3 linked regions of the Cricetulus griseus genome follow. The protein of the gene in region 3 purifies or fractionates together with the protein of the main gene of each other region. This does not show direct contact. Links are inferred from orthologs where the notes say so. Each region holds a gene or a part of one and is shown on either strand. Other genes may lie near its edges. The genes, in order: Acvr1b, Tgfbr2 and Smad7.

The links.
Region 1: the proteins of Smad7 (region 3) and Acvr1b purify together in Homo sapiens (affinity purification with western blotting; 3 studies listed by BioGRID and IntAct, with this or other methods). This does not show direct contact. The link is inferred for Cricetulus griseus from reciprocal best matches to the Homo sapiens genes SMAD7 and ACVR1B.
Region 2: the proteins of Smad7 (region 3) and Tgfbr2 purify together in Homo sapiens (affinity purification with western blotting; 3 studies listed by BioGRID). This does not show direct contact. The link is inferred for Cricetulus griseus from reciprocal best matches to the Homo sapiens genes SMAD7 and TGFBR2.

The regions. Positions count from the first base shown.
Region 1 is NC_048595.1:397,639,388-397,643,034, reverse strand, and holds part of Acvr1b (activin receptor type-1B), read right to left. Parts: intron 1,242-3,647; coding exon 1,074-1,241; intron 196-1,073; coding exon 39-195; intron 1-38. UniProt on the Homo sapiens protein: Transmembrane serine/threonine kinase activin type-1 receptor forming an activin receptor complex with activin receptor type-2 (ACVR2A or ACVR2B).
Region 2 is NC_048597.1:223,208,006-223,211,652, forward strand, and holds part of Tgfbr2 (TGF-beta receptor type-2), read right to left. Parts: intron 3,587-3,647; coding exon 3,396-3,586; intron 1-3,395. UniProt on the Homo sapiens protein: Transmembrane serine/threonine kinase forming with the TGF-beta type I serine/threonine kinase receptor, TGFBR1, the non-promiscuous receptor for the TGF-beta cytokines TGFB1, TGFB2 and TGFB3.
Region 3 is NC_048595.1:164,565,335-164,569,081, forward strand, and holds the start of Smad7 (mothers against decapentaplegic homolog 7), read right to left. Parts: upstream 2,822-3,747; 5' UTR 1,490-2,821; coding exon 874-1,489; intron 1-873. UniProt on the Homo sapiens protein: Antagonist of signaling by TGF-beta (transforming growth factor) type 1 receptor superfamily members; has been shown to inhibit TGF-beta (Transforming growth factor) and activin signaling by associating with their receptors thus preventing SMAD2 access.

The sequences.
Region 1 (3,647 bases), about 230 Mb from region 3:
AGCTGATGAGTGAGGGCTGGAGCCTAGGGCCTTCCTACCGTTTGGTTCCCACCCTCTGATTTGGAGCAATGTCAATGGTGTCAGTAACCGCATCATGACGGACAGCCAGGCCCAGGTCTGCAATGGCACACATGCCATTCTTCTTCACCAGGATGTTCTTTGACTTTAAGTCTCGATGAGCAATTCCGGGCTTCCCTGGCAGGGACAAAACCAGGTACATTTAAGGTTGATGCATACATGGAAAATGCATAGATTCTGAGCCAGACTCTGTGGGCCAAGTCCTGGCTCTGCCTCCCACAAGCCAGTGATCCCACGAGCAGCTGGACATTAGAATAATGGCACTTCATGGGAATGTGGGGAGGATAAAGCATTCCCAGAAGGAGTTGACATGCCTCAGAATGACATGGTTATTACTGAACACTAAACCACTACCGCTCACCAGCCGCAAAGAGCCCACATGGGTCAGGTGGACAACTCAGCGCACAGAGCTGATGGCGCTGAAGACTGGGAGTGCCATTAGTCCTGTAACACTAGGGCCTGACTGCCACGCTAGTTTCCTACCTCACCTAGTAAGAGCCACTGCCCAGGGTCAACCAAGTTGCTGGGGCAAGCCCAGTATCTAGAGGGAGATTCCAGTATCTGGAGTGGACAGGACCATGTAGCATAAAGCCTGGGTCCTCTCCAGGAAAACCTGCAGAGAGGTGGGCCCCGTGTCTTGTCACTGCCCAACCTCAGCACGAGATTACTACACTCCTGCTTCTGATGCGCAGGCCTCTTCTTAGTTCCACTCCTTCACAGTGCACCCCAGCATGCTGTTTAAACCACACTGTGCCACATATTAACAGCAGCCAAGCCTTCACCTCACACCTTCCCTAGGGGAGGGTTAATGACAGAGCCAATGGAGAAACCCCCTTTGGCTTTTGTTCCTGCTCAGATAGTTTGGCACTCTGTTTCTCAGATGAAAGTACCATTCCCAAAGTTTGACTCCAGTGACCTCAGTGAGGAGGACCAAATGGCGATGGACAGGCCTTTTGTCTCAAGCTTCCTGCTCCTGAGCTGAGTTCACTACCCACCTTGAGTGCCCACAATCTCCATGTGCAGATGTGCCAACCCACTGGCTGCAGACAGGGCCAGCTTAATCATCCCCTCAATGGTCACTGTGTAGCGGTTCAGATAATCAAACAGGGAACCATGCTCGTGATAGTCAGAGACAAGCCACAGCTGGGTCCAGGTGCCATTGTCTGTAGAAAACAAAGAAGGTCTGAACAGAAGGAACAGTAAGCAATAAGGAAGAGGGCCTGTCATGTAAACAAACAATGCCAGGTTCAGGAAGACCCTGAATTTACATTTCTTGCCTCTATATTTCTGGCTGCCCCTTGAGCCCAATTCCCTATAGCAACCTCCAGGGAAGACAGGGGACTTTTTTTAGGCCTGTTCCCTTATCCAAGTGTGGTTGTATGAATGAGATGTCCCCCAATAATCTTGGGCATCTGACTGCTTGACCCCCAGTTGGTGGCTGTTAGGGAAGCCTAGGAGGTGGGGCCTTGCTTGAGGAAGTTATGTCATTGGGGGCAGGCTTTGAGGCGTTCAAAGTCCTGAGCCACCCTTCTGCTTGTAGTTCAAGTTGTGAGCTCGCAGCTTGCTGCCTGCTGCCCCTGCGTCATCATCATGGACTCAACTCTGAACAGTGGGCACAAAGGAAACTCTTCTCTAAGTTGCTTTGGTTGTAGTGTTTTATCGAAACTACAGACAGACAAGTGACTGGGACAGCTGGGAACACTGAAAAGAAGCAGGGACAATTCTAAACAATATAACATTTTACTGCAAAATTTGTAATGTGGGGCATCCAGGAAAGAACAATCTGTGATTAGGGAAAGCAACAGGTTCCAACCCTGATGTGAGGCTCATAAGGCTACTCGCACCACTGCCAAGAAGTAACACCTCAAAGGCCTCTTCCCTCCCCGAATGCTGTGTGACCTTTTGATTATAACCCAGCCCAGCACTCGTCTCACTGGAAATGTTTCTTTGCAGCCTATGGCCATCCTCAGGCTAGGAGCCACGGTGACAGCAGGAAGATCTCCTTTGTACTGTTACAGAACCAAACATGCTTTTCCATGCATGAATAGCCCACTCTGAAGTATCCCGGGAAGCCCAACTTGTCCTTCAGAGAAGCAATGCAAGGTGGACAGCATGCATTGCATTTTCTCTCTTCTCCACAAGCGGCAGCAGGAAGGTGGATGGCAGAGGAAGGGAGGGAAGAAAAGGGCCAGGAATCAAATGAGGCTACGCTGTTGTCACTGGGAAGATTAGAAATTGGACTGACTAAGAGCTTCCAAATTCTAGGCTGGTGCTAGTTCCAGGGCATCACCCTACACAGATCATGGTAAAAAGGCAAAAACAAAGGAGCCTGACTTCCCTCCTCCTGACCCTAATGTGGCGGCACCAGCCGAGGTCACAATTCACATAATAATCAATGGACAACAACTGCTGGAAATGTCTGCACCTCGTCACCTCTGACTACAAAGGCCACACTCTTAACTAGCAACTACTTCCTGAAGGCCCACTGGTTTGTTACAAGAAGATGGTTTGCACCTTCTAACGATTCTAGGACATTTGGAAGTGGAGCTGCTTCCTCAGAGGGCTGACACACTCCCTTCTTCCCCTATATTTGAACCCACAACTCTTCAGCTTGGGGGCAGCTGGGGCCATCACCAATCCCACAGCATCATGAGGAATGAGCTCTGTTGTTGCCTTAGCAAAACCAAAGCTGAGCATTTCCCACAGGCTCGGTGGCAACTAGCCTCTAAAGTCATTGTGACACAGAGCAAGAGCTGTGTCTCAAATGCCAGACACTTCTAAAACATGGCCAATTACCTCACAATTTCTGTGTCACAGGTATATTACCTGCCAGGTGTCTGTCCCCTTGTCCCATGAGAGCTCTGTGTATTTCATTTTTATGATTTGGAAGACTGGTAGAGGCCTCTTATCTCTTTTGGACAGTGTTCTAATTATTACCTCTGTGATCAGTATCAAATACAATCCTCTCAGTGTTTCCTTAAAGTGTTTGTTGTGCAAACTTGAGGACCTGAGTTCGGATTCCCACCACTCATATAAAAATATGACATTGTTATGATATGATAAAGTGTGAGGAACCTTGGCAGATTCCATGGCAGGTGAGGGTGACCGAGGTGGGGTACAAACATGCCAGGCAGACAGAGCTTAGTGAGAAGTTTTATTAGAAAGGGAAAGGGGCAGGGGGAGAGGAGAGAGAGAGAGACAGAGAGAGAGAGACAGAGAGAGACAGAGACAGAGACAGAACGGAAGAGAAGAGGGAGACAGGAAAAGTCCTGTCTGCCCAGGGGAACAGCAGGAAAGAGAGCCAGCATAAGTAGGCAGGGTCTTTCTTTTAAAGGGGTCCTTTGCACCTGCATGCTGACCAGGGTACTGCCTGAGTACATTCTGCCAGGTGACAGGGGCAGGCCTGCATAATGCCTGAATCCTTACAGGCATGATACATGTTCCTGTAACACTAGCATTGAATTGGGGGTGGAGATAGGAGGATCACAGGCTTGTTGGCAGCTAGTCCAGCCAATCAGTGAGCTTTGGGTTTTGTGAGAGACTATCTCAAAAAATAGGGCAGAGAACAA
Region 2 (3,647 bases), on a different chromosome or scaffold from region 3:
ACAGAAGCATTCCTTCATGGCTTCTGCCTCAGTTCCTGCCTTGGGTTCCTGCCATGAGTTCCTGCCCTGGCTTCACTCAGTGATGAATTAATGATGAGAAATATAAGCCAAATAAACCCTTTCCTCCCCAGTTTGCTTTGGATGGTCTTTGTCACAGCAATAGAAACCTAACTAGGACAGCTGTGTTATATAAAGATGCTCTCTGTGCAGTTTCTGGGGACTCTAGAGTGTTGACAATCATCCTGAGATGCCACTGTAGCACTAATTCAAAAGCATAGCATGGCCATGCAGAGATTAGGCCATGCAGCCCCCGAGCAAGCTTCCTGTGGAAATAAAGAAGCAGAAGGGACTGGCCCAGAGTGTGATTACTCCAGCCACTGATCTGAAAGGCACTGCAAGCCCTTTCACTGTTACTGAGCGGCTTCCTGCTGTGATCCCAAGTCAAAACAGGAACAACGTGCCTAATTTGTAATATTATCCAGCAATGTAGGTGCTGTGGTTAGCTTTGATTAGAAATCCTACACTCAGCATGTTCTCTTTGACTGGGGAAGGTATGTGGGGAGAAAAGAGAGACTGAAAGAGGCACATATTAAAACAAAGGGAGCCTTCCCAGTGTGCCTGTGGTTTGGGATCTACAAATCAGGATGTTGTTCTCAGGGCCTCTCCAGAGCTCAGCTGGAGAACCCAGATGCCAGGATATACCTGAAGCCAGATAGCACTCTTAAAATTCTAGCACCAGTGAAGCAATGGCAGATGGATCCCTGGGGCTCAGTGTGCAGTCCAACCTCCTTGGTGAGTTCTGGGCCATCAAGAGACCTGTTCTCAAAAACAAGGCTGGGCTGGGAGGTGGTTCAGTAGATAAAATGCATGCCGCACAAGCTTAAAGACCCCAGTTTAGATCATGAATACACTTGTAAAAGCTGGGAAGGTCTGATGCCCACCTATGGTACTGGCACTTGGGTGGTGGAGTAAGGGAATCAGGAGTTCAAGGTCATGTTCTGCTATATAGTGAATTCAAAACTAGCCTGGGGTACATAAGACTTTAGATAGGAAGGAAGAAAGGAAAAGGTAAGAAATGAACTAATGAAGTCAACAAAGAGAGGAGTAGACAGTGAACACCTTTGGGTCCTAGCAGTTCATACAGAGATTAGTAGGTGTCTTGCACGGGGCATGGAGAGATGCCTCAGGGGGTGAAATGCTTGCTGCATTCAAAGCATAAGGACCAGAGTTCAGATCCCCAAACACACACAAAGCCAGCTGGTACGGGTGTGGCAACCCTCTTGGAATCCCAGCACTCTGGAAGCAGAGACAGGAATCCTCAGAGTAAGATGGCTAACCAGGTGAGCCCAAACGTGAGTTCTGAGTTCAGGGAGAGTCTGCCTCAACATACCATGTAGAAATCGATAGAGAAAGACAATCAGTGTCAACCTTGGGCCTCTGCATGCATGTGCACACACATGTGTAGATATGCATAAACACATGCACACAGACACCGCATGTACACATACAACAAAAACGGAAAATGAAATAGATAAATGTCTTGCAAAGGTGGCATGCCATCTCCCAGTCACAAGGCAACTGCTCTTGAACACATTTTCTTTTCCTACACCTCAGACTGCATTGCAGTCCTGGCATCCACCACGTCTTGCCTGGTGGATGGCTGTCACCTGGTCATCATATGCTCCCTCTTCTACTTTGCACTCTGATTTTAGATGAGAACTGGGTAGGTTCTCAGGTCTTGCTGCTGAAGAGATCTTCAGAGACAGGAAGGGAGATGTGTTCAGGGACAGCTGTGAGGGCTGGGCAGTTTCAGGTGAGTGTCCCCTCTGCTTCTGACACTCTCTCATCCTCCTTTTCCTTGGCCAATGCAGGAGTCCCTGAAGCTACCAGGCATTGCACGAAACCTGTCTTCCTGGGTGCTGGCAGCATAAGCAGAGACATTTCCAGGCATGCCTAGCCTTTTGACATGCTGTCTTCTACAAAGCTCACGCTGGAGAACCACAAGATCAATCACACACAAAATAAAATAATAAACAAAACACACCCTACAAAGTTTCGAGTAAGTTCATGATCTTGCTTTGGTCTGCATTCATAGCTATCCTGCAGGCTGCCAGTTGAGAATGCTTCGATGGATTTCTGACTGGATGACAAGGTCTCTCTGTAATCTGTCCCTTTTGCTGAAGGGTCTGACATGCAGCAGGTAGACCTGTGAAAAAGACCTGCCAATATGCCTGTCTGTCCTGTCTGTCTGTCCATCTTATTGTTTGTCCATCCGTCCATCCATCCATCCATCCATCCATCCATCCATCCATCAATCTGTCTAGAGTTTGGGGCATCTGGAGATTGAATAACACAGTAACATCATGCACTCAGACACTGAGGGCACGCAGCACTCAGTTTTTAAAAGGATTTGTGTCATGGCTATCCATTTTAACAGGAAGTCAGAAAAGACAGGAAGAACAAAAGAACATTTTAAAAAGCAAAAATAAGAGTCCCAGCAGGAACATGAGCCAAGAGACATGAGGGAACTTATTGGGAGTTGCTGAGAGGTACTTCCTGGACGGTGGAGCTGCTGACCCATTGTACACATTCATCAGGCTCCAGCAGCCGGGCTTTCTAAAGTGTGTTTTATTTCACAGAAATAATATATGAATGAAAGGAATGTTTTGAAACATCTCGACATCAAGAGTAATCATGCCTGTAACCTTGGCACTCAGGGGGCTGAGGCAGGAGGATTCCAAATTTGCCGCCAGCCTGGGTTGTGCATAGTGAATTACAGGCTAACTTAAGCAGCATAGTGACTATCTAAAGATGAGCAAATAAATATACAGATTAATTAATTCATTAATTAAAAGTACCACCATAGCATATTTGGCTACACTCATTATGTATCCACAGTTCCACATAGAACAGTATCTTTGGCCAGCCAGCCCGACCTAATCATTCCCCAAGCAAGAGACCCTGCTTCAGAAAGCAAGGTGAATGGGGGCTGAGGAATAATACCTAAGGGTTGGCTTCTGGGCATCACATATGTGTGTGCATGCACGCATGGGGCACACCCATGCACACGCGTGCACACACACACTGTGCACATACTCACACAGAGAAAATAAATTTTAAATAATAATAATTCGCATTTCTAACAAATCCCCAGTTGTTGCTGCTACCTTGAGAATGGACCTGAGGAACCACTGCTCTGGGAGAAAGAAACTATTTGCCAATGCCAGATACCAAAAAGAACCCTAGGGAGTCAAATTTGTGGAGGGCCAGCATGGACTCCACTGCTTCCTGAGTACCTCTGTCTTCCAGAGGAGTGGACACATCTCCTCCCAGCGTGCACCAGCGCTCTGCGCGGCAGGCGTCCCTGGAGGACTGCAACCAGAGACGACACTCACCTTCTGAAAAGATGATGTGGTCATTGCACTCCTCCACGTTGCAGGCACACATGAAGAAAGTCTCACCGGCCCTCTTCTTTTCCTTCATGATACACTTGGGAGAAGTGGCGTCCTCCACGGTAAAGCCATGGTAGGTGAGCTTGGGGTCATGGCAAACGGTCTCCAGTGTGATGTTCTCATCATTCTTCCTCCTGGGGTGCAGAGGGTCAGTGAGGGAAGAGGGAGACAGAAAGAGGGGACACGAGTGAAGAG
Region 3 (3,747 bases):
CCCAACTAGGGAATCCTACCTAGCCCACCGAGAAAAAAAGCACCCTAAGTGTGCTGCTGAACTTGGAAGACTTGAGGGAAGCAGGGTACGCCCCTCTACCCTGAACACCAAGATGTGGAGAAAACAGAAGGCATGGAAGAGCTAGGACGATAATATAGGTATAGGAACCTGCTCAGGGTCCCAGCTATGAAGGCCAGGCTCCAGGGCAATTAAGAAAAGGGAGACACAGGGGGCTGGGGTTCTAAGGACCACTAATGGTATGCTTTTCGGTGCGAAATAAAGGTAAAAGTAGGGGACCCAACTTCTCCAGGCTGTTTGCTCCTTCTCACCCTGTGGCTGGCATAGCTAACAGTGGATACCTAGTTCGGTCTCCATCCTACCACAGCCCCCAAACTCCAAAGCTGAGAGGCCAGGGCAGTATCTGGGCCACTTGAGCCCCACGTGACTGTCCTTATTTACTAAAGGAGAGGAGACTTTCCAACTTTTATAGCTAGTTTCTCCCAACCTTCCTTGGCGGGCTTGGACAGAATCCAACTCGGCCACACACCTCAACGCCTATCCGGGTGCGGGGGAAGCGTGATCCCCACTTCGCTCTGAATTCCCTTGCTGACCCGGAAATAAGTGTGTCTCATTTTCTGCAGCATGTCTGTTCACTATAAGCATAAACAGTCTCCATGGGTCCTCCACCAGAGGGTGGAGGCGGGAGATAGAATATGAAAGGGAACCCCAAAGAATGTCCGAGTTTCCCCTTGTCCCTTCCCTGATTTTATTTCCCTCCTCTCCTCCAGAAGGGGGATGCACACACACCCTGGGAATTCTACCAACACTTCCGCGCAGGAGGGAACGAAAGGTGGACACAGAACAACTTCTTACCTAGTTCGCAGAGTCGACTAAGGTGATGGGGGTTGCAGCACACCAGCTCGGGGTTGATCTTCCCGTAAGATTCACAGCAACACAGCCTCTTGACTTCCGAGGAATGCCTGAGATCCGGCCACCTGAACACTTTGCACAGCAGGAGGGGGAGCGAGTAGGACGAGGGCGGCTGCGCGGGCTGCGCGCTGGCGGGCGCCCCCGGGCCCAGCCTGCAGTCCAGGCGGCCGGGCAGCAGTAGGCACGCGGTGCGCGTACCGCCGCGGGACTCCACGGCCTGGAGCAGCAGCTCCAACTGCCGCTCCTTGAGTTTCTTGAGCACCGAGTGCGTGAGCGCCTTCAGATCCGCCTCGGCGCCCCCGGCCGCCCCTGCACCCGAGGTTGGGGGATGGGGATGGTGGTGACCTTTGGCACCTCGGACCGCCTTGCCCAGGCAGCAGCCAGCCCTGCCCGCGCCGCCGCCACCAGCCCCATAAGCCCGGCCGTCCGTCGCCCCTTCTCCCCGCAGCTCGCCTCCGCCGCCGCCGCCACCCCCCACGCCCTCCTCCTCGTCCTCGCCGCCTGGCGCACGGCTCCTCCAGAGACGCCGGACGAGCGCAGATCGTTTGGTCCTGAACATGCGGGGCGAGGAGGCGAGGAGAAAAGTCGTTTGCCGGCTAAGGAGCGAACATGACCTCCGCACACCATGAAGAAGTCGGGCGCCGAGTTGTGGCAGCAGGCGCAGGCGACAGCAGCAACAGCAGGGGCCCGGGCAAGAGCGGCGGCGGCCCGATGGGCGCTCCGTGGCATGCGCCAGTCTCCCGGAGGCCGGGGCGCGCGCGGGGCCCGGGGGCGCCCGCCGGGGATCGGGGCCTGCGCTTCGGCTGCCCCACCCGGCGCGGCCCGCGCCCTGCGCGGCTCTCGGGCCCCGGCGCGCCCCGGAGAAACGCGGCCGCCGCTTCCCTGGGGGCGGCCGAGACTGCCCCGGTGGACGCCTCCCCCAAAAGAGGCCCCCCTACAGTAGCTCCCGAGTGTCGGGCTCGCCAGCCTCGGCTTCCTACATGGAAGATCCTCGGGGGCAAAAAAACGAAAGGCGTTAGGCTGTGCTACTGAAGGGAGGAAAAAGCCTCTTTCCCCCTTGCTAAGCAACTTAATTTGGGGGTGGGGAGAAGCAGGCAATTAAAAAAAAAAAAGCAGGCACACGATTTATTTTTTTCTTCTATATCCTTAGTAACCGGATCTCCTCGAATTCTGTGCTCGCGAAGACTAGAGGGAGGGGGCCGAGTAGACTTCACCCCGCGTGAGACGTCTGTAGGGTCTCTCAAAAAAAAAAAAAAAACCCAAAACCAAATATGCAAAGCCCCCAATGAAAAAAAAAAAAAAACACACACAACACCTCCTGGCACCTCGGAGGTCTGGGGGCCACCGGATGGAGCCCGGGTTTAGAAGAGAAAATGTTTACAAAGTAGAACAAGATGTTGGAGGGGTGGGGAAAAAACGTATCCACGAGTTACATCCCCCCCTTTTTTTTCCTTGCAGAACCCTGCGGGTCTTCCTTTCCTTTTCTTCTGCCAAAAAAAAAAATCGTATTTCTTTTAATCCACAGAAGGGTCTGGCTAGGCTGCTTCAATCTTGCGTGTCTGGGTGTTTCAGAGTCTCTGGTCTTTCCTCCTGCGCTCCCGGGGGCCCAGGTCCTCGGCGGGGACTTCCTCGGCTCTGGGGAAGCAGGGACAGAAGATGCTGCGGCGGCGGCTGCGCCCCGGGGGGCTGTCAGCGCAAGGGAGGGCGGCGCGGCGGCGGGCTCCGGCGGGTCGCAAGCTCTCGCCCCCGAGGGCACAAGCAGCAGACTAGTGTGGGGGCCGCCGATGCCCCTTCCCCTGGTCGCCGGTGGCTGCAGAGGCTGCCCGAAGGAGCTACTGGCCCCGAACCGACTGTGGCGGCAGGAGGCCCGGGTGTCCTCTCGCTGCCTCTTCCTCCGAGACTCTCCTCGTCTCGCCCGGGAGCCTCCTCGTCCCCCGTCCGCCCTCTCCTGGCGCTCGAGTCCTTCTGCCGCCGCTGGGGGCTCGCCGCGCCGCACTCAGGGACTCCGGGGCCGAGCGCTCGGCGGCGTGGCGCCGGCCGGCTGGCTGGCTGCGTCTCGGGCAGCTCTCTCCGGCGCGGCGAGCGGACCGAGCGAGGCGCCCGGCTGGCTCTGCTGGCGCAGCTCGGGGACAAGATCCTCTGTGCGCCGATCTGCTAGCGAGTGTCGCCCGGGGCCTCACGCCGTCTAGACACCCTGTCGCTTTAAAAAAAAAAAAAGCGATTGTGTTTCGCAAACAACAGATCGGGTTTCTAAAAGCTATTTCAACCCCCCCCCCCCGTTACCGCCACCCTCTCTTAGGTCTGCAGAGGGGTACGCATGGGTGGAGGGAGGTGGGAGGCCGAGACAGCCCGGGGGTCGACGGAGACCCAGCGGGAGCAGGGGAGAAATCGGAAGAGCTGGGGGCATGGAGCGGGCGAGTTTGGAAAGGAGCGAGTCGGTCGGTGGCCCGATTTAGACCAGCGGAGCTCGCCCCGGCGATTCATTCATTCGATTTGTTTTAAGGCCCTGGCGGCGGATCCCTTGGAAAGGGGAGGAGAACGCTGTCTGTTTCAAAGACATTTACACCGGCCAGGACAGAGGCCCTAGGAAGTGTGCGCTAGAGGGAACAGCCGGGCGGCCGAGGGCGGAGAGGCGGCGCGAATGTGACCTCAGCGGCCGCCGTGCTCCCTCCCGCCCTCTCCCGCTCCGGGCTCGGGTTTCTAGGACTGCCTGGAGAAGTGTGTCTTGTGCACAGCTCTGGAATGCATTTGGCAGGCTGACGAGCAGCGAGGGGCAGCATCCTGGAGGGAGGAGGGGTGCTGCTCGCCTGTGCGCCG